2 linked regions of the Schizosaccharomyces pombe genome follow. The protein of the gene in region 2 binds, or shares a complex with, the protein of the main gene of each other region. Each region holds a gene or a part of one and is shown on either strand. Other genes may lie near its edges. The genes, in order: spt5 and spt4.

Region 1 (17,310 bases), on a different chromosome or scaffold from region 2:
TAATATCCGAGGGCGGCGCAGTTGAAATAACCAGCCCGGTTGAACGCTACATTCTCCTATACTTAACCTGCAAATGTTTCCGTCGTTAAGGATTTTAGATATATAGCTTAGCAACATTCATCCCAATGTGAACTTTAAAGCAGTCATAGTTGACCAGAAGATGAGCAACAAATTCAACGTAAAGGCTTGCGTCTCAGCGACTGCTCAAAATATAGATTTACACAACAACTTTACATATTAAGCGATATTTAAAGGACCGACAGTCTCGGTCTCTTTTCGCATAGAACGGAAGGGCATTTACATCATGGGGATGTAAATGGACCTTTTTTGATCTACAAAATGGGAATCTAAAAAATCTGTCAAAGATAGACATATGTGTCTCTGCTTACATATATATACATATATATATAGGCTGAATCACTTTCAACTTGCCTTTTCCCAATATTAAAATTATCGCACAAGTCGCTACTTTAGCTACTACTAACTTTTAGGGTAAGAAAGTGTAAGGGGGGATTTGCTTGGAGACTAGGCATGAGCTTGTATTTAATTGGAATAAAAGAAAAAGAATAGGAATTCATGAATTTGTTGAATGAAATTGCAAAACTGCAAGTCATTTGTATGAAACATAAAGCAGATGAATCCCAGGTTTTCGGTTACGATGCGACGTTTGCCGATGAACAGAAATGGTAAATGGTTTCGCATTTGATTCCGCAATACCGCAAACAGAAAATTTTATAAACCATGGAATTGTCAAGCGTTTCGCCAAATTCAAGAGCAAAATCCAGTGTTTATCTTAACATTGAGACGCTATGCTTTTTAATAAAAATCAATAACTTTGGATACTAACTTGTCATTTATTTAGACACAAATTACAATAATCAGATCCTCATATACCGGAGCAGAAATAACAGCACGGTAAGCAGATACAGTGATACAGTAAGAGCTGCGTTGGAATACGGGTGAATTTCAGCTATAAGGAGTTTTAAAATTTTTACGTAGTAGGGCGCTTTTGGTTTAATTTGTTTCACCATCCGTTTACAAATATTCCGTTGTTGTGTTGTTTTCGTTCACAAGAAAATTGTTTGAGGGTATAGTCAATTTTCTAAACTTTTGTGGGTCTAGAGAGACAGTCGTTGATTCCATCGTTTGTTTTGAGCGCGTTTTTGTAACGGCCTTCTAATCTCTGAGTTCAAGCAAAGCGGTGTGTAGATTTTGGCATAATTTCCCAAATTTATTGACCTAAAGACGGTTTAACTATAAAAAAAAAAGACAATGTTATTTAATTGTTTTGGAATACTCGCTCTGCTCCAGATCCTGCCGGCCTTGGCGTACCCGCCTTGTCGCGAGCAAATGTCGGATCCGTATGAGTTTGGGGAATCTGACTTAATGAGACCGGGCATGCATGACACGCCTCTTTCATTAATGCAAAAACGAGAGGCTTTGGCGATTTCGCTTTCCAAGCGCGACAGTGTTGGATCATACGCGCCTTATAATGTAACTTGTCCTAGTGACTATATGCTACGACCTGCTTCTGACGGAATAAGTTCAGGCGAGCAAAGTTTCATTGATAAACGTATCCCCAAAATCAATACACAAATGAGGTCCTTTATTTCCAACACTGGTTTGGACGTAGATGTAAACTCTGTGATTAATGATTCAGATGGCCCTCGTTTAGGACTTGCATTTTCTGGCGGTGGACTCCGCGCTATGGTCCACGGAGGAGGTGTTTTAAATGCTTTCGATTCTCGAAATGGCAATGGTTCTTCACTTGCTGGAATTCTTCAATCCGCCATGTATATCGCTGGTCTTTCTGGTGGTTCATGGCTGGTCGGTTCCGTAGCTGTTAATAACTTTGCCAATATTACTTATCTACGTGACAACGTTTGGAATTTGGAACATAGTGTCTTTGCTCCTCATGGTGACAATGTTGTCGAAAATCTTGCTTATTATGACGACCTGGATGATGAGATTGATCAAAAGAAAGATGCAGGATTCGATACTTCTTTGACCGATCTTTGGGGACGCGCTTTATCTCGTAAGCTTGTCGATGCTACCCAAGGTGGTCCAAATATCACATTTTCTAGCATTAGAAACCAAACTTGGTTCCAAAATGCCGACTATCCTTATCCCATCATTATATCTGACAGTCGTTTGGAAGAGGAAAAAGCTATCCCTGCCAACACCAGTATATTCGAATTTACTCCATACGAGTTTGGTACTTGGGACAATGGTATTAAAGCTTTTCTCCCTATGGAATACGTCGGTACCCATTTAAAGAATGGTGTTCCACCAGACCATAAGTGCATTCGTAACTATGATAATGCCGGTTTTGTTATGGGTACTTCAGCTACATTGTTCAACACGTTTCTGTTAGAATGGAGTCAGGAAGTAACGTCAAATAGTACTCTCTATGATATTATTCATAAAGTATTTGAAAAACTTTCTGAGGATCAAAATGACATCGCTCCTTACCCCAATCCTTATCAGAATTTCACGACTACAAACACCACCGTCAAAAACCCTTTTGAGCGATTCGATACTATTGATTTAGTAGATGGTGGTGAAGACGATGAGAACATTCCTATTTGGCCTTTGTTACATCCTCAAAGATTTGTTGACGTTATATTTGCTGTTGACGCAACTTATGATGATTCTAATGGTTGGCCTGATGGCTCTTCTATTGTTACTACATATGAAAGGATTATAACTTATAACGCCAATAAAAGTGTTGATGTTCGAGGTTTCCCGTATATCCCTGATGAGGACACAATCATTTCCTTGGGACTGAACACTCATCCAACATTCTTTGGATGTGACGGCAGAAACACTACTGCAGGTAATCATACCGTAGATAACAATACACCTCCTCTTCTTGTTTATTTCCCCAATTATCCTTGGGTTTACTATTCCAATATTTCCACGTTTACCATGTCTATGAATGACACTTTGTCCAGTGGCATTCTTGAAAATGCTGCTCTATCGGCTACTCAAAACAACAGCGATTCATTTGCAGTCTGTTTGGCATGCGCCATGATACAACGTTCCTTGGAGCGCAAAAATATGTCTACTCCTAGTCAATGCTCTTCTTGTTTTGAACAATACTGCTGGAATGGAACAACCGTGAACAACCCTAGTGCCGTTTCAAACTATGCTCCTACTGTGTTATCTGCATCAACCACTTCTGGTACCTCTTCTGTACGAGCCAAACCTATAGTATTTTATTTATTTGCTTCGCTTCTAACAGTTTCGTTACTATTATAGACGACGAAAGCCTCCCCCACTCACACACCTTGGTATGAGTCACTTTTCGACTTGAAAGAATTAAAAAGCATAGACTGAGTCAGGCTTTTATTTATTAATTGTAAGGTATTAATCACTACCAAACTTGTGGGGTTCAAAGGTTTTGTAGTTTTAGTGTTAGTGTTAGTGAATTCATTTTAAGTTTTCGAAGCACAATGTTTCTTTTCTCTAATGAAGATGTTTAGTTTAGTTAATTTAGGAAGATCGCTTTTATTTTTAAATATACAGACAATTAATTTTAATAATGATTGTGCAATTTTATAGATATCAAAGCTGTTTTGAATTATAAACCGTCAAAAAAGTCAGTTCCTAAAGGCTTTTTCCCTTGATTTCCCACCTTTTTCTTTTTCTTAGGACTCGAGAATTCAGAGTCGCTGCTGGAATCTTCATCACTATCTAAATTATCAGAGGAGGATGACTCATCTCCTTCCTTCTGATCAACCGGCCAGAAAGCTAGTTCGGTTCCACTACAGGAAACTAAAAAATTGCCTTCGGTAGTAACATCCACAGCGTCTACGGTTGATCGCGAAGAGTGTTGCCCTATAATTCTTTCGTATTTGTTTGGAAGAATGTGTAACAAACGTATACATCCGTCGCTTCCGCCAACATACAGACTGTCAGAATCAGCACGAGTTATTGTTTCTATTGAAAAATCATGGGACCGAATTGGCGATAAAATGCGATCGGTATGATCCCCCCAATCACCCTTTGTAAATAAAGTTATAACTCCACTGGCAGTACCAACAGCAAATTTCTTTTTTGAATGCTGATCCCGTGTAAAAGCTCCACAGGTCATTTCTTCGTCTTGTTCTTCACTCAATATTGGTTTTTTGAAATTACGAGCATCGATTACTGACAAAACTCCATCACCACTAGTAGCAACGAAGTATCGTTCTTCAAATGGGCTAATAGAAGATATATAGTCAATATGATCATTATGGGTATGGATAATGCCTCCCTCGGTGCGCTTATCCCAAACAGAAACACAACCATTATCATCACCTGTAGCAAAGACCATATCATTCTCAATCCATTGAACCACACTATAAGGAGAAATCTCCTTATTCTTATCCACTATCCATTTTGAACTCACTCTCCCCGTTGAGGTATCGGCGATTTTTAAAACACCATCTGAACCTACAGAAATGAATTCGGTACCTGATTCATTTACTGAAATATTTCTGCAGCTTTTTTTATGTCTTTTGGTACTCCATTGCTCGACCAAACTTATTTGTGCGACATCATATTGATAGCTACTAACTCTGCCGTTTGAAAAACCCAGTAACACTTGATTTTCACCGAAACAAGCTAAGTCGAATATTTCATTTTCAAATTTTTGTTTTATAGCAGCATTTATTGTTCCACCCATTAGGTTGTTTAGGACAAGTAGGCTGTGATTAGAGCTGGGCAATCCACCTCTCAGCACCCATTGCCCTGTAGCAAATTTGCATACCCTAGAATCGCGAATACTATTACACTACCAACTTGATATTGTTTTGGAAAATTTACATAAAGCATATAAAATTTTATTTGTACGAACTTCTTGAACTCATTTAAATAATTCAATAGTATTTTTTACTTGGGGATTCTTTATTCAAAGACTTTATTCGAAATCGTTAAACTACGAATTCTTTTAGAAAGTTAGACATGGAAAAATGGACGAAGGAGAACGTACTGAAAATTTTGCCAGTCGACGATGAGAGTGCCGCAATGATAACAAGCACTGCTTTAGCAGTCGATTCTTCCGAAGCCGCAAAAGATTATTGGATTTCTTTACTGGGGGATTCTGCTGAGACTATAGAATTCATTAGTGACTTCAATCAAAAAAGATTTCACTCTACGCATTCTGGTAATTCTCCATCGATCATGAAAAACAAGAAGAATGTGACACCAAATAATAATATTCGGCAAAAAAATACTGCCACATCTTCTCATCCAAGTTTCTATATCGCTAACAATAAGCAAAAAGGATATGATGAAGAAATGTATAAAGTCAATCCTGCTTCGAGGAATAAATCACAATCAAACAATATTTCATCACATGAAAAATCTAGCAAAACTACGAAAAATGTCTCTCCAGGCGTAATGACTTCTGACCTTATTCCGGAAAAGAAAAGTGTAAAACATAATAACTCTTCTTCTAACAGAATTGAAGGTCTCGCCGACATCGAAAAAGCTATACGTCAAATAGAGATATCTCAAAATATAAATAAAGCAGAAAGAAGAGTCTGCAATTGTCAAGGACGTAAGCATCCGCTTAATGAGGCGGCTCCCAATTGTTTGAATTGTGGAAAAATAATTTGCATTGTTGAGGGGATTGGGCCTTGGTAAGTAATATTACTACTATATCTTATTAACAAGTTTTTACTAATCTTAATTAGCACCTTTTGTGATAATCCTGTCATTAGCAAAGCTCAACAGTTGGAATTAATTCAAGAGTTGAAGCATGAGGGAAGCCGCTTAAAGCAAGCTGCCAATCAAAAACGAAAAAGCAAAACCGTTTCTAGTAAAAATAATTTTCAAAGGTTGCAAAATTCCTCCTTGCATTCAATTTTTCTCGATCCTAAACAACTAGAGCAAAAAGCTCAGGAGGCTGAAGAAAGAAAAAATGTCTTATTAAATTTTGATAGAACCTCTGCTCAACGAACTCGTATTATCGACGAAGCTGCTGATTTTGATCCTACTTCGCTAGCTTCTGATACTTGGGCATCTCCAGCTGAGAAAGCTTTAAATCTTGTTAGAATGCAAAAGGCCATGGCTAAAAAGGAAAAGAAAAAAAAGAAGGTATTGTCGATTAGTCTTTCAGGAAAAAAAGTTGTAGTCGATCAAAAGGAAGCATCTTCTGAAAGTTCTGATGAAGATCAGGATGAACTTGACAATTTAACTAAAGTTGAGGGCCAATCTCATAGTCATAACCCGAAGGCTCCTGTTATTAGAAATTTGCCTAGGCCTATTTACCATCAAGACCTACACTCTAGTCATGTCGCCGTGCCTGAATCTATTCTTAATAAAATAAATCAGAAGTGGTCTAAAGTTCAGGATGATGATGGCATGCCATCGATGTTATAAGTATGTTTATGTTAAAGTTACAAATATTTAATGTATGCTTTTATGAGATTCAGTTTTTTTAAATATACATATATGCATTTTGGTAAAGTGCGTATCATTTTAATATTATTAACAAGATTACGTTAATTAGAATATGTCTTAACAATTTTAACAAAACTATCTGTCGATATTTTCAAAAATTTGATTTTAAATTAAGGAGAAGGAGGTACATATTTGGGTGAATCTCCTTCTTCATCATCCCAACCACCTGGTGTGGGAGCAGCCCACGCACCAGGTGTAGGAGCAGTATAGGGCTTTGAATTATCTTCGGTATCCCAGTTAGTTTCACTGAATCCCCCGTATGCAGGGGTTTGTCCCCATGAGGTGTTAGTGCCATTAGCAACCATAGGTGTCTGATTAGCATTCCAAGCTGGAGTCTTAGTACCATTGTTCCAGGACGGAGTTTTATTACCAGCATTCCATGCAGGCGTTTTAGCACCACTATTCCAAGCAGGGGTTTTGTTGCCAACATTCCATGCAGGAGTTTTATTTCCGGAATTCCAAGCAGGTGTTCTACTGCCAGCATTCCAAGCAGGAGTTTTATTCCCAGAGTTCCACGCTGGGGTGCGACTTCCAGAATTCCACGCAGGTGTCTTTGAACCAGAATTCCACGCAGGTGTGCGACTTCCAGTATTCCAAGCTGGAGTGCGTGAACCATTTGCAACAGCAGGCGTACGGGCTCCTTGGGCCCAGTTTGGTACATTTGGTCCATCAGCGGTGCTGATACTACCAGGTCTTATTCCTCTAGAACGCTCAATAAATTCGGTATAGCTAATCAATTCACCAGTCTTAGTAGTATATAGCAGGTTTTCTTTAGGAATTGTAACCATTTTGTTTCCCGTATGTAACTCAACACGTGCATTTGCATCAGTAGTATCCTTAATAACGCCAAGTAATCCTTTCATAGGACCTCTGCGGATGCGTACAGTAGCGCCAATAGCTTTGTCACGTCCAATCGTTCTTTTCAAGTTAGCAACCGGAGGCAAAGCCGGCCCATTGGATAAAGCTGGATTCATTTTCGTCAAATCTGCTGAAATACGGGCACCCTTTGCCGCAATTGTTGCTACGTTACGACTGCGAGCGGAAAATACACCATTATTCTCTGCGATATCTCTGTTATGCAAGAAAACAAAAGCTCTGTATATGTGCAAGATCGTTCCCTGCTTTCCCTCTCCTCCAACCTCTTTTACTTTGTCGCCAATCCGAATTTCAGCCCCATTTCTATCTGTAGCCACACCTCGGCGATTGGAATGGCGCATGGTAATTTGAGAAGCAAGAACCGTTCTAACCCCTCCATTCTGATCAATAACTTTGTACGTATCACGATCGACAGAAAAAATGCAGGCAACCGTGTTAACATCCAGCTGCACTAAATCATGTAATTCATATGCAGAGTTAACAGCTTGTGCAGAACTAGCTTCGCCTAAATCACGAGAAAATACAGTCAACTCAGTCATAAGAGTATCACTCAAAAAAGTAACTTCGTCCTTTGAAATGCGGACAACCATACCGGTGTCATCCTTGTACTTTCCTGCTATAACTTTTACATAATCACCATGTCTAAACCTTTTCCTCAGGCCCCGAGATGGTACATCTAACCGTAAACCATCAGAGGATACCATGGTAATAACGCTACCTCGAACATTTTCAACAACACCACTTACTCCAGTCTGCTCACCAACATATACCTCGACATGATCTCCAGGCTGAAATTCAGCATGGCCCCCTTTGACGCTGAGAGCCAAAGAGCTGAGATCCAAATCCTCATTATTAGGATTGAATTTGGATACCTCGTCAAGTGTAGGATTAACTCCTTCAGTTATCAGTGAGGAAATACGAATGTCCTTTACCAAAAATCCATCTTCGAACTCTTCATTGTTGAAGAGGAAAAGTCTAGGACCACGTTTAGAAAACTTAGAAGGATTGCTTTTAAATGCTTCGCTTTCATTAAAGAGTCTTGCTTGAGGACGAGTGGCAGAATTCTTTCGTTTCAACCCATCGGAATAATCAATACGAGGAACTATACGTACACGTGCGGTTAAACCATTTTCTGAAAGGTTGTCAACCTGAGCGAGATCACCGGCGTACTTTCCACGGCGTATACGCACATATGCACCAGGCAACAGTTCAACAACCTGTTTTTGAACTTTGAGTAAATCCGGCATTTCCTTAATTGGAACTAAAATCATGTTATTTGTATAAACATTTAAAACCCCATTAAGTGCATCTAGAACATGTGATTGCTTTCGAGCTTCAACGTATATATAACCGACCAGCGAGTCACGTTGAAATGCTGAAATGATTTCTAATGGAGAGCTAGTATATTGCAAATCCATAGCTTTCCGCATTATGGTAAAAACAATATCCTTTTCTTTGCCAATTTTACAGCGAACAGCCCAAATATTGGGATCATTCACTGAAGGAAGTAGAAGACGTTGGGGAACATTGCTTGTATCTCCAACAACAGTTTGGCTACGACCATACTTTTCACGATACTCCTCAGCAAGGCGTTCAGCATCAACAGATTGTAGTTCCTGTCTTTGACGGTCAAGTTCACGATGGCGACGATCATCACCGACGTAATCCGCTCCAACTTCTTCTTCAATGAAACCATCTTCACGACCAATTTCATCTTCCTCATCTTCAAGCTCTTCCTCGTCCTCATCTACTTCTGCTTCAATATCAAGGAATTGGTTGCGGCGGTCATGGCGAGCCCTTTTTCTTCTACCGCCACCTGATTCATCTTCATCTTCCTCGTCTTCCTCATCATCTTCTTCATCCTCTTCTTCCTCTTCGTTTGCATCAGCTTCTTCCTCGTTTTCTTCAACATTATCCTCATCTTCTTTTTTGTCATTGTTATTTACATTATCGACTTCGTTTTCATTCCCATCTTCGCCTTTATTAATTGTGGTATCATTTGGACTTTCGTTATGGGAATCCACGGGAGAACTCTGTTTTTCATTTGTAGTAATTTTAGCAGCTTCAGAATCATCATTCAGCAAGTCACTTCCATTGGGGGATGCACGGGTAGAATTGATTTTAACTGAAGCAGCATCTTGCTCAGCTGCATCTACCTCAGTCGAATTTGCATCTTTATCAATAGATTTCGGAGAATTCGTATCCATTGTGACTTAAAAAAGAGGAAATAGTACCTATTCCCTCAATGCTTTGTTTTTAGACCTTTAATCTAATATAGGCGATAGGTTCGCCGATTAATGAACTTTTTATTCAACAAGTGGTGTTTTGTTAAAGGTGACTTACAGTACGTACTGCTGCCCTATTTTACCAAGCAAGTAGGTCTTGTATGGCTTGCAGCGACAAGAGTATAGATATACGAAAGAAGCAATTTAGAATGGAATACTTACGGTTTTTTTGTAAAATCAAACTTTTGCTTTAAAAGTATTTGCTTTAATGGTAAGCTTGAGCAATTGCCACTGCTGGTAAACAAACTTGTATACACGAAATGCCATACACAATCTTAAAGTTAGACTTGGTTTAATTGAAATTAAAGATAATGGGATGCTCAGATTATCAATAAATTCATCTTACATTTAAATTGTAATATTATGTTATATTCCATATAACTATGAACCCTTTAGGGCAATATCCCTTTGCGTTACTAAAATCCAATATAAATATTAAACTGGATAAGAGGATATTTTTTACCGAGAGAATATAGGACAAAGGTGGTGTCCATATACTATCTTCTTACTCAATAAATCTTATAATTATGATACAGGTTAAATGAGGAATAATATAATAGCCAGCTCTTGGTGCTTGTTCATAATTTCCCCCAAACCAATGATGCTACTCAGCTATACAGCATCGTGTACATTGCCAATACAGTCGAGTTTTTCGAATAAATGCTTAAAATTTAATTTTGGCCTTTTATGACTCTCCATTTGTCAATCTTCGCACCCACCACGGTAGCATATAACAACTTGGTTTTAGCTTCAATCTACTCTTAACCTTCGAAAGTCGATTTTCTCTAAACATTCTTTATTTTCCCTTTTAAACATTACCAATTTTTGCATTTCCTCACAATAATATGTAGTGGTGATGGACGCGTTTGTACTCGTAAATTACCTATACCTACTCACCTAGAACTCATAAATGTCGGTAGTGAAAGAATGGGTTCTTCTAAACCACTCAAAGGCTTCGTGATATGTTGTACCAGTATCGATTTAAAGCAAAGGGTAAGATTTTTGCACGACGAATCGCATTTTTTGTTATTTGTGTTACTAACTTGACAGACCGAGATATCTACAAAAGCAACTAAACTTGGTGCTGCCTATAGATCAGACTTTACTAAGGATGTCACGCATCTTATAGCCGGCGATTTTGATACTCCAAAATACAAGGTATGTCGTAAAATCTTACAAATTACACTATCCTTCAAGAGTAAATGCTGACATTCTTTTCAATAGTTTGCCGCAAAATCCAGACCAGACATAAAGATTATGTCTAGTGAATGGATACCTGTTCTTTATGAAAGCTGGGTACAGGGAGAAGATCTGGATGATGGCCTGCTCGTCGATAAACACTTTCTACCAACTCTATTTAAATGCCGGGTTTGTCTTACCAACATTGGCCAACCAGAGAGATCTCGTATTGAAAATTATGTGCTTAAGCATGGTGGTACATTTTGCCCTGACTTAACTAGAGACGTAACTCATTTAATAGCTGGCACCTCATCGGGTCGCAAATATGAATATGCATTAAAGTGGAAAATCAACGTAGTTTGCGTTGAATGGTTATGGCAAAGTATACAAAGGAATGCTGTCCTTGAGCCGCAGTATTTCCAATTGGATATGCCAGCCGAAAAAATTGGACTTGGCGCGTATGTTCGTCTAGATCCCAATACTACGGAGGCAAAGTCTTATTCTGAAAACCAAAAAATAAGCAAGAATAAAGAAAAGTCTGGTCAATCCTTGGCTGCATTGGCGGAGGAAGCGGATTTAGAACCCGTGATTATGAAACGGGGAAAGAAGAGAGATAGAAGTATTTTATGGGAAGAACTTAATAATGGAAAATTTGAATTTTCCAGCCGTTCTGAAGAAAATTCAGTACTACTGGATGATTTCACTCCCGAAACTGTTCAACCCTTAGAAGAAAACGAATTAGATACGGAACTCAACATCGAAAACGAAGCTAAACTTTTTAAAAATTTGACTTTTTATCTTTACGAGTTTCCAAACACTAAGGTCTCCAGGCTTCATAAATGTTTGAGCGATAATGGAGGCCAGATTTCTGAATTTTTGTCTTCTACCATTGATTTTGTCGTTATACCTCATTATTTCCCTGTCGATGAATTGCCCATCTTCTCATTTCCTACAGTTAATGAGTGGTGGATAGAAAGGTGTCTTTATTACAAAAAAATCTTTGGAATCGATGAACATGCCTTAGCAAAACCTTTTTTTCGTCCATCTCTGGTTCCTTATTTTAATGGTCTTAGCATTCATCTTACTGGATTTAAGGGGGAAGAACTTTCGCATTTGAAGAAGGCTCTCACCATCTTGGGAGCAGTTGTGCATGAATTTCTTGGGGTCCAACGAAGTATTTTGTTGGTAAACACAAATGAACCTTTCAGTATGAAAACTAGATTTAAAATACAACATGCTACAGAATGGAACGTTAGAGTCGTCGGAGTAGCTTGGTTATGGAACATCATTCAAAGCGGAAAATTCATTGATCAAGTTTCTCCATGGGCTATCGATAAGAAAGAAAATCAAGAAATAAAAAAATTTACAAACCAAAATAATATGGTATTTCCAACGTCTGATAGAGATACACGATTACAAAATTCTCTTGCTCAGCAGCCAATAGGACATTCTACGCCTCATAATTCTCCTTCCTTATTATCGGTTAAAAAGCGCCAAAACAACCATATTAGGTCTAATACATTGATTCAACTAAATTCTAATTCAAAAGATTCAACCATATTTCCTCGGAGATCCGTGACAGTACCGGGCGACAAGATTGATACTGTTTGGAAGTCATCAGTTACAAAACCAGAAACTCCGACATCTCCACAAGAGCATGTTTCATATATAGATCCAGACGCTCAACGTGAGAAACATAAGCTTTATGCTCAGTTGACTTCTAATGTAGATGCTATCCCGCCTGCTAATGATCTCCAAAATCAAGAAAATGGGCTTCTATTAATTACCGAGAGTCATCGAAAACTCCGTAGGCGTTGAAACATTGTTTATTTATATGTATAGTTTATGTCAAGTTTAATTATTTTTACACGTCCATTCCAAATAATTCCAACGAAAGATTTCTTAAAGTTAGTAACAAAAAACATTAAACGTGACTTACTGCTTCTCTTTTCTAGCAAGCATTAAATTACAGCTCGTAGGGCTTCGCCAGATAGGCTGTAATATTAACATATCCATGAGTGCACCATCTTTTGTTTGAGCATCCACTCTAAGGATGTTACATCCTAGAGGCATTTTTTCAAATTCCTTTTTTAACATTCCGCTCTCAGAAAACTGCTCAACATGTGGGTACTCGTTTTTAACCAAAATTTTTAAATCTTTTAACCCAGCATCGTAAAAATGCTTCTCGTTTAAGAAAGGGCTAATGATATTGACACCGTTACTATGAATACGAAAATTGCAAATATCTTTGTTAGCTTTTAGCGAGAAATCTTTCAACAGTTGACTGATTTCCTGCTTTACAAAGAATCTAACACCGCCGTGCACGAATTTCACACGATTCGTGTTGGCTTCAATAATTTCTTTGAACAAAGAACATGCAAAATAAATTGATCTAACGGGAATACCGCTTTGATTTCTAACAAAAAATTGATCACGGGGAAAACTAGGATCGATACCATAAAAATCACTATGGGTTAGTTTGCCTGCCATGGTAATATAACTTACACAATAGTTTTGATGCTAGTATCATCAGGATTAATGTATACGAAGGGCTCTTCATCAAAATAACTGTTGCCAGATTTAGTTAATGTAGAATTAGAAGCTTCGTCAACACCCTTTTCCGTCCTTTGTCTCTTGTTCTCGGGTGGTAGAATTTCCATACTAGCAGTATACTTTTTGGGATCAAACGAACGGGAATTAATAGGATCAGTTTTTTGGAGTACGGCCACAAAAAAACCACCAGTATTCTGCATATGGGGATATAGTCTGGCACTATTAAGAGATTAGAAAATGATAAAGTTTCAAAGTTCTCATCCAGGCAAATAAACCTACCATCTTTCTATGTGGAGTTTGCTCATTTCCTCCTCAGGAAGAGGCCACATGGATTCGGTTAACTCGATCTTATCATTGGTGTTCTCAGCAGGTGATTGAAATTCGTTAAGAGAATCATCCAAAACCTTCCAAGATAAAAGACCGGGATCACGCTTAAGTAGGGGTAGTTTTTTAGACACATCAACAAGAGAAACTGCACCACCAGTAGCCTTCAATGCAGCTGTTACAACAGCTTCATTTTCTATGGGATTAATGGAGCATGTTGAGTAAACCAAACAACCACCCACTTTTAAAAGTTGCAATCCTCTGATCAAAATTCTCAATTGCAAAGGGTGAAGGCTAAAGGCGCTATTGGCACTCCATTCCCTCCAAAGAGACAAATTTTTGCGGAAAGTGCCATCTCCTGAACAAGGCACGTCGGCTAAAATACGGTCAAACTTTAAAATTTTTTTTTCTTCAATTACATTTAAGCCGTCAGAAGGAGATGAACCTTTGACATAGATATTGGGCATTGTCGATGCATCGTGATTAACAACCAAAATATTCGGGGAATTTAAACGATTGATTTGGTGAACAAGCATTTGGGCTCGTTTGGGATCAGCGTCATTAGCAATTACAAGACCTTCAACACTCTTGAGATTTTTGCTGTCATGAGCAGCATCCTTGATATTGGCTTTTTTATAAACAGCTTCAATAAGCTGCGCAGTCTTAGATCCCGGAGCAGCACACATATCCAGAATTACATGATGTGGCTCAACGTCTAAGAATAGAGGAGGAAGCATGCTAACCGCTTCTTGACGATTAATGTTTCCAGCTTCATTTTCACTTACAAGAAACCGCTGAAGTCGTTTAAGAGGCGGGCTCTTTCGAATAACATCTTTTTGCGCATCGACAATATATGCAAGACCATCTGGGTACCAAGGCAGCACTGTTGGAGGTGGAATAGTTTGACCCTCATGGACGACATTTTTAAGGCTTGGTACGTAGTATTTTTCAAAATGGTTTTTTAGTTCAAAAGCATGGTGACGATATCCACAAATACGAAATGTAGTTGGTAAGGGCTTTCTCATATATTCCATAAAGCTATCAAACTCATCATTTGGCTTTCCTCGAAATAAATTTTGCTTTTTATAGTAACCTTCGAATTGTTTATTTCTGCATGTTAGCTGACTATTTCCTACAATAATGATCTTTTCAATGTATTTCTTAAAAATATCCCAATAAAGCTTTAAACCCCGTAAAAAAGCACCTTTGTACACTTACTCTAAGACAATTTCACTTTTGTCATTGTAAGCCCTTTTGCCCTGAGTCACCTATCTTTGTTAAAAAAAAAAAAGAAGGCCGATTAACAAAGTATCATACCTTTTTATTTCTTTTCCCCATTACAAACAATAATTTACTCACAAACCAGAGTTCAGTGTTTACTAGACATAAAAATTCAACTTCAATAGTGTTAAGCAAACTTTGCAATGCAATGTGTCTTTATTTTTTATTTACGAGACCTAGCACTTCTTTGAAAAAATGTTTATCGCTAAAATAACGATAAAGATCATGCTAACTAAGGTTCTGACGCTGAACAAAACTGCTGATTTGCATTTGTATTTGGAAGGTCTTGGTGACTTTAAAAACAGAAAATTCAGATTGGACATCTAAATTCTTCCAACTGACTTTAAAAATGTTTACGTTGATATCGTTATCAGTATGCGTATGTAGGAGAATATATCCATATATGACTTTATTCTTTTAGGGAAACAACAAGAGCTGCGCATACTGCTAATATAGTTAAATTTCAAGCGTTCATTATTGCCATTAAATAGGTTACCGCTAAGCATGGGAATAAAAAGCACCTAATGTGCTACTATAAAGCGAAGGATGATTAATTCATACCTTGTCCTCCATAGCAAAACATGTTACATTTGCAAAGTCTTTTCTGAGAAGGAACATTGCCGTATTTAGGAACAATATAAATAAATCTTACAATCATAGCATTATTATAGTCTAAGGCTCCGGTATCGTTATGAAGAACATGTCACAAAACCTGTATGCCATACATTCATCCTAAATTCACAAATTACAGTGTCCATTACCTAGATATTATATCAAATAGCGACATTATCAGCATACAACACCACGCTATGATGCGTAACTTACTGCAGTGTAATGTATTAATTATTGCTTACCAAAGGCGTTAAGTAACTTAAAACATCTATTTATGAGCAACATAAACGAGTTAAGCATGTACATGAGCTGATAAAGCATAATCATTGAATTATCCCATTGTATTTATTAGAATTGAGGATTAGATTCGCATAACGTTTTTCGGTTGCTCTTTTAAACAAAAGGAAAGCAAACTATTCATGCAATGTCTCAATTGCTATTCTTGAGGCGCTTTTTCTTCCTTTTTTGTTTCATCATTAGGATTAGTTGTACAGGAGTATTTGAAAGTGTTATCAAATCTTCGGAAAATGTGCCTGATAAGGTTAATGTCAAATTACAGCATGTATTTCATTACGGACTCAATGAGGACAGTATATCATATTATCGACTAGATGTGGCCAAGAAAAGTGTTTACGCAGAGAGTGAATCAAAATTGCCGTTGAAAATGAAGAAAGGATATTCCGTTCACTTGAAGGATCAGTCTCGCGATGCGTTGACTGATTATAGATATAAGTCTATGAAAGGAATTTATTCTGAAGCGAATTCACCAGCTGATTTATGGGAACAGGAAGCAATCGTGATTCCTGATATTACTGATAAAGAAACGATTTACTCCCTTGGAAAGATGAGCTACAATGCTTACCAAAAAATTCCTTTCGACGGGGACTGGTTAGATTTAGGACCTGATTGGAATATAACTCCACCTGAAGGATTTGGTTGGGAGGAAGATGGTCTACGTGGACATGTTTTTTCCAATGATGACAATTCCACTATAATTATTGCGATGAAAGGTACGTCCATCTTCGGAATCGGACGCGGTACCTCGCAGAAGGATCGCGTTAATGACAATTTACTTTTTTCCTGTTGTTGCGCTCGTGTCAGCTGGGCTTGGTCTACGGTTTGTGGTTGCTATAAAAATACATACACCTGTAGTCAAACTTGCCTTGAGGATGAAGTGCAAGATGACTCAAGGTATTATTCTGCATCATTGGATATTTTTTATAGTGTTAAAGAATTATACCCTGATGCACAGATTTGGCTGACTGGACACTCATTAGGTGGCGCTACTGCCGCTTTAATGGGACTTTCTTTTGGAATTCCAACAGTCACTTTTGAAGCACCTGGTGATCGAATGGCTGCCCGACGTCTTCATCTTCCAATGCCTCCAGGATTACCGGACGAAGAAAGTTTAGTATGGCATTTTGGTCACAATGCTGATCCAATATATTTGGGCAAATGCACAGGTCCAACTTCATTATGCTGGGCCGGAGGTTATGCGATGGAATCAACTTGTCATACAGGACAGGAATGTTTATATGATGTTGTAAAGGACAAAGGGTGGCATCTTTCTATTACCCACCATCGTATGCAAACTGTTTTGAATGATGTTATAGATGCATACGAAAAATTACCAGATTGCTCACACACACCGAATTGTGTTGATTGTTACTTGTGGGAGTTTCCTGATGATGATAGTTGAAAGGAGTGGCTGTCCTTTGCTTCAACTTCTGATAATGTCCTTAAAACTTTA
Region 2 (14,802 bases):
AATAAATCTTGAACTTGTAACAACGTACGCATAGTTTCTTCCAATACAAACAACCTTGCCGGCCCGTGACAACATGGTTGACAATTTTAGTGAGTGACTGTAGTATTCGAAAAATATGGGTAGCTTATAAGTCCACGGACTTTAAAATTTTTCAGGTTGACTGGCGGATTGAAACTGTCTTACTAGGGTACAGCTTTCAACTTCGCTATTTCTGTACCTAAAATTATAAATATGCAAAATCAAATAAAGTTGATTCAATCTGTTTAATAGGTAAAAGCCTTAGCGAAAAAAAATAGATACACCGTTTCGGTAATTAAATATTCCAAAAGACTCCCGCTAAGGAGTTTACTAAATAGCGTCGGAATTAGTTAACAGGCTTTTATAGGATTCGTAAAATTCATCGGAATAATTTGTGAAAATCACATCTGGTCCGCATGGATACCAATGGGAATTTGTGGTCAAGTTTAAATTATTCAAGTTTTTAATTTCCGTCGTATTGGAACATGAAAAAATTTTGGGAACAATGGTAACCACATAAGCATCAATGTCGGTAGACCCAAAAGCTTTGGCTAACAGCTCTGCTCCTCCCTCAACCATGATTCTGTTTACACCATTTTGCAACAGCTTGTCGAGCGCCACATAATCCGACCAACTGTCAGGTGAATCCTCGTTTCTAATGATACAGCGGCCTCCAACACTTTGAATGAGCTTGACTGCTTCTTTTAGCTTGCTATCGTGTTGAACCTGTTGCCAAATACTTGGTGCAACGATAATTAAAGGTGGTTTCCCCAAACGCTCACGAGCCAGCCGAATGACTTTAAGAGATGCATAATCCAAGCGCAGATTAGAATCCACTATAATAGGAATAGGCTGTTTGTTTAAAGGTAACAGGCAATCAGGATTAGCTGGATCAGGAAGCTTTGCAGTTAAACTAGGATTATCGTTTTCAGCCGTTCTGCTGCCGACCATGATTCCATCAAACTTGGTACGGAGCAAATGGGTCATCACGAACGACTCCTTCGAAGACAACCTGAGTTGTCCAAGAGAAGGCGATTCCACGACATAACCTATTCGACCATTGATAGACTGAGCCCATGTTAACAAGACATGCTTTTTGTTAGCGGAAGGAGGAAAATAAGCTTGAGATGACTCCATAGGGCAAAAAATGTAAATAATTAAAACAAGTTTATGTACTGCAAACTTTGATGTTACAATATTTGAGCTTTTATCGAGAGTTAACGTAGTCCGTCAAAGATTAGGTCAAAAGACAAAAAGTAACTGAAAGTATTAAGGATAATAGGAAGAAGCCTAATTGTTAGTAAAGGGGCATAACAAAGTCTCGATTTGGGAACCTACCATATGTTGTATGTTCTGCTATCTACTAAATGTATTCGCATTCAATATTATATCATTCATCTTAAAAGTAAATTTTCCGAGTTGACTAGAAAAGAAATACGCATCATCTTATATTTTCAACGTATACGACTTTTACTGAAGAAGTCAAAAGACGATAATTTCCACTTCTTTTGCTATGGATAACTTTTATGAGCATACAGCAATTGTATATAAGTATGTCAATAAACTCATTATAACGTCTAAACCGGATTGAAATGATAAATAATATAATAAGTACTCCACCGTTGTAAATTACTCGACCATCAATCATAAAGAGCTTGTGCTTTATGAGCGGCGTAAACAAATGTCCTAAAGCCTTATATAAAACACCTACGCCAAAAACCTAATGCTCCAAAAAAAAAATACCGATTTTACTATTAACAGATTTGTTTTTTCCCTTAATAGCATTAGTTTGGGGACATTCTAAGACAGTTGTTAATTCTAGTTAACAATTGTTTTTGAACTTGAACAAATAATGATTACGCACTATTATTATTTTACACCAGTTGTTCGGCTATCAATCACCTCTAGCAATAACGTTTCGTAAGTTGTTTGAGAAATACGAAGCCTCCTTTTAATAATACTATCTTATATAGTACAAAACATAAAGTTATTATAAGTAAAGTCCCGAGTGGCTCAATCGGTTTAGAGCGTCTGACTCTTATGATGGTCATCAGAAGGTTGCGAGTTCGAGTCTCGCCTTGGGAGTTAATTTTTTTCAATAATCGCTAAATTGAAATTACATAACTTAACCGGCATGATAAGAAAAATAAGGGTTATATTTTATTTAGCGTTTAGTTTGTCAATACCTGAAAGACATTAAATGCTTACTACCAAGCACCGGCTATACAACACATTACCGCGTATCGATTGCCCTTGCATCCTATCTCACTAAGGCAAGCTCTCTTCCAGCTAATTTTGAGAGAAACGTGCTAAATTCATTTCACTATTGTTTTAAACACAAAAGCTTTTAGAGGAGTATTCATAAATTATATAACCGATTTAATTTTAGACTATATTTATTTTATGCTGTTCTGTATGCCAAGAGCCTCCTGATGGTGTAGTTGGTTATCACATCCGGCTGTAATTAAAACGATACCGGTTGGTCGCTAGTTCGATTCTGGCTCAGGAGATTTTTTTATTTAAATCATAATTGAATGAGCCTAAATGACAAAACAGTTATTAAACAATTTTCGCAAATATAAACTAACAGATGCAAAGAATTGGGAGTGTATCACCCTGGCTACTTGTGGTACCAGAGTAGGGTGAAACACCACCTCATAGAAATTGACCAATTGATAACATTTTGCGGTTATTTTTTTAACAATAAAAATGGATAAGGGATTTAACAAATATATACTAATTTGATAAAGACTGACTAAACGTATAGAGCACGAATCTACCTGTGTTGTATGAGAGGTCGTTCTCTTCCAAGCACTTTGAATTTAAAAATAGAAAAATTCTCAATGATTTACTGTTAGCAAGCAGTACATTTATTTCCTTTCACGCCCCTTTCCTTTTTTTTTTTTTTTTTTTTTTTTTTACTCATGGTTTTCAAACACCTTTTTTTGGCTAATTTTGAACAGGATTTGTTTAAATATAACAAAATTGTCATCCAAAAGCTTCTTATATTTAATGAAACCTTTATTAAATATATATTTTTATTTTTATCTCACAAATGCAAGTTATTAATAAGTTGCAATGAAATTCAAATAACCGATGCTAGGATATATTCCTACTGGTTTTTGCCTCTTTAGTAAAATGGAAGTTAATAAGTACGGCAAAACAATCAATTTTTTTTTTAACAATGATTTTTTTTACTTCGTCCTAAGTTTTCAAAACCTTGATGAGATTGTTAAATTGCTTTTGTTTTTATGTTATAAGAATATTTAGCGAGTTCCGTATATCTTTGTCATGACATAGTGTAACACTAAGCAGCGCATATTCTCTGCTTTATAAGAACCATATATTGAAAATACTTAACCTCTACCGTTCGCAAATTAGGAAGTAATTAAAATGGCGACTATTTACGCGTGCAGAGGGTTTCATCGAGTTCCCGTCAAATTGTCGCCATCTTCAACTCTTCAAGAAGTCATCCTTTCCTCCTATAAACAACTTGGATTTTCTGACTGGCATAACCTTGAATTATTACATGGCGATAAAAAGGTAGATACCTCTTTGCTTTTACGGCTTTCTGGTATAATCAATGGCGCAAAACTGATAGTTAAAGAATCTGCCACCAATCAAAGTGGAAAATCTTCGAGTTCAATTAGCCCCCAATCTAAAAAGATCAAAGTTGCTCTTCAACTTCCTGGAGCTGCCCGTATCATTGATGAGGCTTCTAGTGAAACATCTATTAAACAATTGTTAGAGCGACATTCTTTGCTTACGAAAGTAAGCCACGTTCTAATTAATGGTCGAAATTTTAAGTCTGAGGAATTTGACAATCCTTTGTTATTGTACGGTATTCGCGAAGGATCTATTTTGATTAGATTGTTTCCCATTAAAGCTCAACAATCTATTGTTTCGGAGCAGGCACCAGTCTCTCAAACTTTCAATGGTGATGTCAAAGAAAAAAAGAACGCAGATTTGATGGATATTGAAAGTGAAAATAAAAAAGACGATATTGTAGAAAGTTTTCCCAAATACCCAGTTGATGCTCACAAATTACTGGAACCACTGCCTACGCCTATTCCATCGCTTCCATCTACTCCTTCTTCTTACCAAAACTTACCTTCACAATCTCTTACAGGTGAATCACTCCCTACCGTTTCAAATCAGGAAAAAGATGAGGGCGTAATTGAAAAGGTTGCAGTTAACAATACTCCGAGTGTCTCTTCTAAATCTCCCTTTCCAAAAAAGAAGTCGTTTTCATCCATGCTAGCACAGGTAAAAAAAGAAAAAGCTGAAAATAATGGATCAGACGGTTATGATTTACAACCAACCAAAAGTCAACTCGAATTATATCAGAGTATATTAAGGAAACGGGCGAACCAAGTGTCATCTACCTCACTAACTAAATCATCTTCTCCCAAACCTTTACCTTCTTCTGCAATTGTAAAGTTTGATTTCGGTAATGGCAAGTCCATCGTACATGAATTTAGCAAAGATGATAACATCGAAACACTACGAGCTTTTGTTGCCTCCCATCTTTCTCCGGAAGAGTCAACATCTTTTCAACTCACTTTTAGCAACTATGAGGCATTACCTACGACAGGGTTAATAGTTGAACACATAGGTCGTGCAGTGGTTCGTGTCCATACGATTTCAGATCCTGTTTATGCACAAAGGTAAAATCTGAAAATTTACGACCTTTGTTTAATGTTTCTTTACAGTTTTTAATGGATCAAGGATTCAAAAATGATAAAATTGCTGGTGCTTGGGGTTTTTATATGTCTCTATTAATACTTCAATAAATGACTGATATAATACTTGGTGTTGCGAATATATGCTATAAGTTACAAATTTCCATTAAATTTAAAAAGTAAGATGTATATTCGTGTGTTAAAAGCGTAAAAGAAATATTGTAGGTTTATATGTCGATAAACTTTGAAAACTTGTTGGCGTCAAGGCAGTCATAATCTACCAGTAATGAGGTTTTAAGATTTCCTTGGGCGTCTCGAGTATATTTACCTAAAGTGGGGACTGCACTGATACCAAATTTCACTCGAAATTCATTGTGTGGTGTTTTCCATTGAGGCATGTTGCCAACATAGACATGGACAACATTGAGCTTTTTAGAGCTATTAAAGGCATTGTTAAAGAGAGGCAAAGCCGCACGAACCGTTGGACACCAAGGCTGTTTAGTACGAGGATCAACAGAAGCAAGATAAGCAACGAAAAGTGTCTCATTTTTAGCAACGTTAGCTAAAGTAGATTCCAGTGATTCTTTCAATGGTAACAACATTTTGGTGGTCAGACGTTTGGATAAATACAAATATTTTAATGAATATTGAATACAGTGGCTTGATCGTATCTTAAAGTAAATGTTAAAACCAGAATTTTAACTATTTCCTCAATTTCAAACTTGCTATCGGTTAGTGAGAAAGTAGCATTGTCCCATTACAGATTCTCAGTATTGAGAAACATTAGCCTAATTCAAGACAAAATTCCATCTCTAAATTACAAAGTTTGTAAAAAGAGAAGTCCTTCAGTAGTTAAGGAATAAAATATTTTTGTTGACTTGACACTGTGTGAATTGGGGTTTTCGCTATAAGAACAAAATACAAAATCTGCAATCATAACTTCCGCTGTTTAAAAATTGAAAAACAATACATTTACAGAATAAAAAAAATTTATTGAAAGTATAATTAGTTAATTACTGATTATATTTAACCCTGCAGAGTATGTCAATCGTGCATTGCATTTGCATTTTATAGTCAGTGCTTTTTATAATTTGAGTAAATTACGATTTTTTCATAGTTGGAATAAAATAATAATTCTTTTATATAATGGAAATTTTATTAGTTGCGAAAGTAATAAAAAGTACTTCTACTGCAGGTTCAACATAATAATACTGATTCAGCAGATGAAAATATTCAAGCGTTACTTTTACTAACTAATTATATTAAGCAGTTTGACAGGACGCGGTAAACCGATTTTATGTTTACCAATTAGTGAGTTATGACAATAACAGTCACTTTACTACAATAACGCTTTGAAATTACGCTACCTTACGCTTCACTTGCTTTGTGTAAAAGAAAATTAGGGTAGGGTAGAGGAACAGTCACATTTGTTTCGAAGCCAACATTTTCAGATTGGAGAAGCTTTGTAACAACCACACTGCACAATGGCTGGCGTTTCTGTTAAGGATGTGGACGCTCAAAAATTCATAACTGCCTATGCTGCTTTCTTAAAGCGCTCCGGTATGTCTATCCTATTTAAAAAAATTAGTTTTGTCGGTGGATATAATACGATATTCGATATACCCATTTGGTTGTTCTCGATGATCGAAAGGGTCGTAGATTATACACCTGAAAACTAACATCTATTATTTGTTAACTTACTAATACAATCTTTAGGCAAGATGACTACTCCTCAATGGATTGACATCGTCAAGACTGGTACTCACAAAGAGTTAGCTCCTTACGACCCCGATTGGTATTATGTCCGCGCTGCTGCCATTGCCCGCCACATCTATCTCCGCAAGCAAGTTGGTGTTGGCCGTCTTTGCAAGGTCTATGGTGGTTCCGTTAACCGTGGCATGCGCCCTTCTCATCACCGTGATGGTTCTGGCAGTGTACAACGCAAAGTTGTTCAAAGCTTGGAGAAAATCGGTGTTCTTGAAAAGTCCGACAACGGTGGCCGCCGTATTTCCCAACAAGGTCAACGTGATTTGGACCGTATTGCCTACTCTCTTTTGGAAGAAGAAAGCGAGTAAGCATTTCTATAGTCTTAATCTAAGTGTTTAAGTGGCTTCTCTTAATGGGTTTATTGAATAAGTAGACGAAAAAAATCGTAATATAAATAAACCTTTTACCTTTAAACTGGCATGTAATCCCTGTAGACTTTTCATTACCGTATCAGACATATTAATATAAAAACACATGGATTATTTATTAATTTCTATTCTCCTAATTTTCTACGAAGTATACAATAAATAGTAATAGGCACGTCGACGATCATGGTATTACCATCTGTCTACTCATTCTCCGAGTAAAATACTCAAGCTCAAATACTTAGTTTTTCCTCATTTTCCATCAACGAGCGTTCAGCAAAGCAAAAGAACTTAAATAAGCTCATTAAATCTTGACTGGTTTAGTCTGTAGACGTTAAATAACATAAATCACATAGATACTTTCTTTCCACAAGTCTAGTAAAAATACTAAACTTAATTGAATTCCCATATCATTAATCCATTTCCCTTTAACTATGCTCAATCTGAAGTGAGCTCTGATTCAACATCACTGGAATAATTTGGCAATGGATCAGTTGGCACCTCAATAGGTAAAATAGTATATACTTTCTCAGCTTCAGAACTAGCGACATCAGAGAGCGGAGTAGAATGAACCTCCTTAGTTATTGAAGCTTCATTTTCCGCATGTAAAACGGAAAATATCGTATCAGAACTAGCATCCAGATTATCAGCGCGACTTACTTCGGAGTAATCCTTCACACTATCAGTCTGGAGGTTAGAACTATCAATTACATGACCATCTTTTTCCAAGCTTGGATCTTTAACATCAATAGGTAAAATTGAATAAATTTTTTCGGCTTCAGACTCTGGAATATCACTAGGCTTAAAGGAATAAGTCTCTTCAGCAACAGATTGTGGAACATCAATAGGTAAAATGGAGTAAACTTTTTCGGCTTCAGATTTTGGAACATCAGAAGGTAAAAAGGAATAAGTTTCTTCAGCAACAGATTTTGGAACATCGATAGGTAAAATGGAGTAAGCTCCTTCGGCCTCAGATGTTGAAACATCAATTGGTAAAATAGAGTAAACGTTGTCAGCTTCGGATGCAGGAATATCGATCGATGGAAAAGTGGAGAGTCCTTCATTAATATTGTCATTGAGCGTGCCAGTGTAACTTATTTCCTGTGTATTGGAAGAAGATGTACTGGTTGCTTGATTTGTTTTAATAGTTTTATCACTATTTAAATCATTGAAGATTTCATCATCCTCATTGAGTAAAGAATCGCGTTTCAAAATTTTACGCTCAGAATCAGCTCCATGGGTTGGAATGCTTCTTTCATATATTTCAAAAGATGCAGTACTGAAATTGACATCATCACAGTCAGCATGCTCATCATTAATTTCAACAATTTTATGGACCTGATCGGAAACGAGATAATCAAAGTTAGGAAGTTCAGCAGAAGATCTATCAACCATTTTGAGTTTATGGGAATTTTTTACAGCAGTTAATCGCTGGACTGCACTAGAAGCAACACTTCCTATCCGTGAAAGGTGTTGTTTAATAACGTTGTCAAGAGTTTCGCCATAACGGTTACCAACCTTTTCGCTTTCTGCAGTAATGTATGAATATACTTTCTGAATCAGTGCATTTAGTTTATTCACTTGCTCAGCATTGTGTTTTATTCCAGAGCAAGCAGCAAGGGCTACCTCAGAAGAGGCAGCAGCTTGTTCGCGAATTGAATTAATGCCCATCTCAATGTTTTCAGCTACGTCCGCACGAATTGAATCACTTAGAGTCCTGAGTTTAATAGCACGTTCGTGAACCCTTAAAATAGAATCTTTAACGTATTCAAATAGATCCATAATTGCCTGATCGTAATTAGATTCTTCGGCTTTTTGAATAAGATTTCCTAAGGAATTCTCAACTGCCAATACACGAAGGTTAGAGATCTCTTCAAATGCTTCAAGTTCCTTTTGACAACTATCGGTAGCCTTACGAAGAAGATCTTCCCAATGCTCGGAAACTGAAAGAGTAAACGTAGAAACCAAGGTTTCATACTCATGCTCAAGGTAATTCATTGCGTTGGAGAAGCAGTCATTTTGACTGTTGAAAGTAACAGAAGAGGGAATGGAATATTCAGTTGCCGGCTCTTCTTCTGCAGCTTCCATTGGTACAGGCGTTTCTACAGACTTTGTTCGCGATAAGATAGTAGGAGAGGATGTGTAATGTGCTGAGCTGGACGCCATGGAAGCAGACATTTCAGACAGTATTTTTGAGCTTGTTGCTGATGCAAAGGCCTCCGATTTTTCCTCGACAACACTCTCATAAATATGCTGAAGTTGGGGTTTAATATGCATGTCCAGAAAGGTACGCAAAAATCTTATAGACGTCTCAATCATTTGAGTGATTGTAGCCTTAGCGGCAGGAAAAAACACATAGCGTAATTGCATGTAACCATCCATTGCCCCTCTCTGAATAATGGGTTTATAATGGTGATATGCCGGTATAGCATGAATCTCCCAAAAATATTGAAGCTTCTCGGCAATGTCCCTCGAGATGGTACGAACTTCTTGTACAACTCTTTGAAAAAACGGAATCAGAACATCAACAATAAAAAAATGAATCCTTTCCTTCCCTGTTGTATAGAGTTCACGTAAATTATCGCCATCCAACACTTTAGAGCCAATTTTCCTGGCTTTTTCGTTGAATGCTTTTATACAAGGTGCGACTTTTTTATCGATTACTTCATTAACCTCATATCGAATATTCTCAACTTTAGGCTTTGCATGCTCATCGTAGTAAGACTTTACATTAACAGTAGCCTGCTTTGCAGCATCTACGATAGGACTGGCTTTAGCAATTTGAGATTGAACAACCGTTCCGTAGGGACGGACGTGATAATCATATATACTTTTCAAAGCAGCACCTTTGTCCTGCTTTTTGGCTTTTCTAGCTAACACGCCATTATCTTGAAGAATAAGGGAAAATAAAAAAGTAATAATAAATGCCCTTGCTATTGCTTTAAAGTATCTTTCGATTTTCATTCTATGAAACTAAAGTGTACAGTTAGAAAGTAAAACTAACTTATTTGAAAAAGGAAAATGGAAACAATAATTAAAAACACAACTTTACTACTGTAGTCAAAGCAGCAATATTTTAGCTGCTAGTTGTGGTCAGCAGATAGGAAGTGGGGAAAGATGTAATAGTCGAGCAACCTATACTAAGAGTACTCAATCAATTATCGTGTACCTTATATACCTATAGAAGCGGGAATGCCAACACCAATTTTATTATTCAAATAAAAATAATCAGTATTTGAGAGTTTACAATTATAATATATGGACGAGTTTCGCATAGACACATTATCGAGATAAATTCAAAAAAAATAAAAGGTAAATTTTACTTAAAAGTGACAACTTAAGAATAGAAATAATTTAATACCAACATGTGATCCACAATTTGTAAACAAACAAGCACTTTACGAGGTTGTCTGTCAAACACCATATTCAATACATTGGTCCTACACCAACTTATACAAGCTTTTTAGCTTTTCTCTATTGACAAGCGCGTACTAATTGTTTTTAAATACTCACTATCAAATTTAAAAATTTAGGTATTGTAATCGTATACAAAGAATGGAAAACTAAAGTTTCAAAGAACAAAAAAATGAGTGAAGAAGTGGTACTTCAGAAGATACAATACTTAAGAGTTACGCCATAATTGGTAAACATTAGGAACAAGACTGATCCAAGCGCCATACACAGTTCCCATAAGACCGCGAACAAATTGCCAAGCCTTTTGAGAATCGGGAATAGGATAGTCAACAGCAGGGGGAATGCCAGTATGGATGGCACTAAATCGATCGTAAGCAATAGCCTTGGAATTGCAGATTCCGCGTAGACCCTCATATCCGGCAAATCTTCCATAACCACTTTTCTTGCAACCACCAAAAGGCATTTGTAGCAAATAAAAGGCACCAAAATCATTAACAGCAACCATACCGGTTTCCAAATTATCAGTGAAATATTGACATAATTGCTTATCCCGGCCAAACACGGATGCCCCCAACCCAAATTCAGTACCGTTAGCAATCTCTAAAGCATGTTCGGGTGATTTTGCTCGAAAAACAAGTGCAATTGGAGCAAAGCACTCTTCTTGGGCAATCTTCATCTCATTAGTAGCATCAACAAGCAAAGTGGGTAAAAAATAATTTCCTTTAGGATACTTAGGATGTTGAAAACGGTGACCACCGTACACTAAACGAGCTCCTTTGCTAACAGCATCCTGTATTAAAGATTCTAAATGATCAAATCGATTATTAGATACCATAGCACCCATATCGACATCATTTTGGGTGTACATGCCAAGTCTCATAGTGGAAATTCTGTTGTATAATTTCGTAATTATGGTGTCGTAAACGCCATCCAAAGCAATGATACGCTCAATACCAATACAATTTTGTCCGGCACTTTGGAAAACACCTCGCATAACTATAGACAAGATCTCTTCTAGTCTGTGGTCGTCAGTTAAAATACAAGGATCTTTTCCTCCTAATTCAAGGCACAAGGGAGTAAGTTGTTTTGCAGCAGAAGCAGCAACCAATTTTGCGATAGGCTGAGAACCAATGAAAGTTATATGCTTAATTCCAGAGTGACTGGTAAGGTGATCAGCAACATCTGGTAGACAAGTAATACATTGAACGAGTTCAGGGGAATGGCCCATTGATTGTAATAAACTACGAACCATTTCACAATATTGATGTGTAGACCACGCTGTAAGCTCGCTTCCCTTCACAACAATAGCGTTTCCAGCAAACAATGCAGAAATGATAGGACCCAAGGCATTGTGAAGAGGATAGTTCCAACTAACTAATGCAGCTATAACTCCCAATGGCTCATATTTAACATAACCTCCTTTATATGAAGTTAACAACGAGTTAGGACGTTTCGTAGGACGCAAAGACTGCTCTCCATTAGCAAGCGTCCAGTTAATTTTTTCTAATGTAACCAATATTTCACCGAACGCGGCATCTACCAATGTTTTACCGGTATCTTTGCAGGCAATTTCTGCATATTTATCTTGGTTTCTAATAATGTTTTCCTTCAAAGCCTTCAAAAAATTGCGCCTTTCAGCAAATGAAGTAGATTTCCATTCTTTTTGGGCTTCTTCAGCCAAGATGATTGACTGATCAATATCAGACTTGTTGAATAGCTTGACTTCTCCAAGCAACGACCCGTCTCCTGGACAATAGCATGTCAACGTAGAGGACATATTGGTTTGATTTTAAGTTATTGACAACGTGACAAAACTAAGGCAATAAATACGCAAACAATCAAAAAGTGTAAAGAAAGGAATTTGGTTATTCAAAATTTGTGCAAAACAGTCTATATTTTTAGTTGAGCCAAATTTGTTAGCTAGAAAATCAAGGATGTTAGCTCTCGATGCTTCAACAAAGGAAGTTACGTTGATCAGATTTCCAATGTTACAAGTGCCGAGAAAAGGCGTTCGTATTGACGAGAATCAACAATCTTGAATAACAGGAATAAATATGGTGTTTCCCAGTTACGAGATGGGTTATAAAACACCACACCACCTGACATTAGAGAAGTACAACGCATTGCACCATAGCCCAGTCTTTCACAACGGGGAGGAAGAGCAATGGCAAATTTTAAGTGAAGAAATTTAATAAAACGATGTAATATTGACATTTGTGAAGAAAAATTTCAAATAAATTTTTGATAACTTTACAAATTTAAGACCCATTAGAAGACTAATCCCATGATGTACCATTCCTAGGACGATAGTTAATGCCTCTGCGACGCAAAGATTCAACTACATCTTCGTTTAATACACCTTGAACACGAGTCGCATAGATTCCGGGAGTAAAAGTATCGATTCTCTGCCATCTGGCAACCCAAGATTCGGTGGGACTCATCATTGCCATTATTCCTTCAAATACTGGCGAGGTAAATGTTTCCACGTCGTCTACACCATCGTTCGGACAGCCTTTGTTAGCAAAAACACTATGAGGCAAAACAATTCCACAAATGAGACATGCTCTTGATCTAGTCCTATTTAGCTTATCCATGCTGTGAGGTTTATACAATGCAAGTGTGTTTGGTTATGGTTGAGTTACAAACACGAAAGAAAGTGCAATACCTATCAAACAAATATTAATTATAAATGAACCAGAATATCGAACGAAGCTGCTTAATAAAACAGTAAAAGATACACATTTTGTATTTGCTAGCTAAACGTTTAATGTTGCGATATCAGTCTCTTAATTACAATTTTAACCATACAACTCACAAGTTCCAGGAAAACAAAAATTTTATAAAACTAAATTAAACAATAAAGTCTAGCCATCAGAACTAAAAAATGATGGCCTCATTATTACAATAAAGGAGCATGCGGTAGCGACAATTGGAAAAGTTGTGAGATAAGAATGCAAAACTACACACCCAAAGTGTCAATTTGGGTAAATCTAATAATGGTATTTTACATGAAAAGTACCTTAGATAAATAAACATGTGACCCAAAAGCTGTATTGGAAGCATGCGTGATTAAGGAACGAATAATGGAGTAAAGCGGACAGACAAGGAATGGTGAAAGAGGCCATTGAATTTAAAGTTAAGAAGCAATGCGTATTACCTTCCAATTAATAATGGACCATTTACTCTATAGAAACAGTTCTGATGAATGAGATAGTATATTTTTTGGCGCAGAAAAGTAGAAACGCTAATGCTTTCTATATGAAGACATTTCCAGCTCTTTCTCGTTTTTTAAAATCCTTCTTTCTCTCCTAGTTGCAAAATGAAGAAATAGAACGATCAGTATGCAACAGGATAAACCAACGGATAACCCAATTGCAAGTTTCTTGTCAATCGGGTTTACAGAAAATGCAGGGGAAACATCCACTACCATCTTCCAGTAAAACGTGTTCGCTAATAGGACCTGTGGACCCACATATACCGTGCTGGCGGTACCATTTTGAGGAACAGCAACAACTCGCGCAGTAATGTTGTCCATCTTCATAAGCCATTTCTTATCTATCTTTACCATCCAGTAAGTTTGGTTGGAAGGAATAACACCACTGCTCGTAATCAATGTGTTATTGGAGTCGGCATATTGCAAAGCAATTTCGACAAACTGTTCAGTGGGTTGTTTCCATTTGACAGCATAAGTAAATCCTCTAGCCCATCGAGAATCTTAAACAAAAGTCAGTTTTACAATACTAAAAATTAAATAAAAAACATACCTTCAGCAGGAGTGATGAACTCAAATTCAGCCCGAACAAGATTGATAAAAGTAAGGATTAAGAATAAAGCAGATCCTAGAAAGAATTTCATTTTGTGAACCCGAAGTTTTCTTTGTAGCTTAAAAAAAATAAAAAAACGGTCTTCTCTAACGTGAATCTTACAATGTCTTTAGCATAGACTCAGTGATACGGCAATTGTCTGCGGAAGATACATCAACAGCCAGGGACGGAAGTGTAAAATTAACTCGTACTCGTTAATGCGATATCATTGTATATATTCGAATGATACTGTTATCGTATTCAACAAAAAAAATTAGTAAATCCTTTTTAGAGTGGAAATATATGAGTTGAAAATGCTGTCATCAGAACCCAGATAACTTTACACTAATAAAATAAATTTCGGTTATTCGTTTGCCGTATCCGCATGGCTTAAAGTATAGAAAGAAAAAGCTATTTATAACAGTCTAGCATATAATTATGTTGGAAACGAACTGCAGTAGTAAGCAGTAAACAATAAACAAAAACCTTTAACAATGTACAAGAAATAAACAGAAAAAATAATAATATTAAATTAATTTAGTAAAGAATCAACCAAGTGTTGAAGAAATCTCAAAAATTGGTTATGACAGGTGTGCTGTTTATTGTTTACATACTAAAAAATTTTGATAAATTATGCTTTCGTTCTAAATAGGACTCTAAATGTTACCAGTTATAGAGCTAAAGTAAATTTTTTTATAAAGGAAATATATGTAATTTAAATTACTAGCTGGTCTAGTAATTTACTTTGACACT

Evidence for each region.
Region 1: spt4 (region 2) and spt5 share a complex: the UniProt entries of both Schizosaccharomyces pombe proteins name them as parts of the spt4-spt5 complex.

What each region holds. Positions count from the first base shown.
Region 1 is NC_003424.3:1,056,090-1,073,399, reverse strand, and holds spt5 (DSIF transcription elongation factor complex subunit Spt5), read right to left. Parts: upstream 9,657-17,310; 5' UTR 9,534-9,656; coding exon 6,561-9,533; 3' UTR 6,446-6,560; downstream 1-6,445. Other genes in the region: lysophospholipase Plb3, read left to right, coding at 1,273-3,261; wdr55 (WD repeat-containing protein), read right to left, coding at 3,584-4,669; transcription coactivator Rqt4, read left to right, coding at 4,948-5,627, 5,682-6,369; BRCT domain protein Rad4, read left to right, coding at 10,539-10,604, 10,662-10,769, 10,836-12,608; trm402 (tRNA (cytosine-5-)-methyltransferase), read right to left, coding at 12,655-12,691, 12,730-13,257, 13,296-13,562, 13,623-14,777, 14,886-14,935, 14,985-15,005; autophagy-associated lipase Atg15, read left to right, coding at 15,985-17,259. UniProt on the Schizosaccharomyces pombe protein: The spt4-spt5 complex mediates both activation and inhibition of transcription elongation, and plays a role in pre-mRNA processing.
Region 2 is NC_003423.3:3,812,114-3,826,915, forward strand, and holds spt4 (DSIF transcription elongation factor complex subunit Spt4), read right to left. Parts: upstream 12,882-14,802; 5' UTR 12,841-12,881; coding exon 12,523-12,840; downstream 1-12,522. Other genes in the region: acylpyruvase Oaa1, read right to left, coding at 29-75; rib7 (5-amino-6-(5-phosphoribosylamino) uracil reductase), read right to left, coding at 349-1,155; UBX domain protein Ubx4, read left to right, coding at 3,412-4,689; SPOM_SPBC21C3.12C (thioredoxin domain-containing protein), read right to left, coding at 4,928-5,302; rps1901 (40S ribosomal protein eS19), read left to right, coding at 6,185-6,260, 6,417-6,775; SPOM_SPBC21C3.14C (uncharacterized protein), read right to left, coding at 7,271-9,796; SPOM_SPBC21C3.15C (aldehyde dehydrogenase), read right to left, coding at 10,455-12,023; protein psg1, read right to left, coding at 13,491-13,960, 14,011-14,101. UniProt on the Schizosaccharomyces pombe protein: The spt4-spt5 complex mediates both activation and inhibition of transcription elongation, and plays a role in pre-mRNA processing.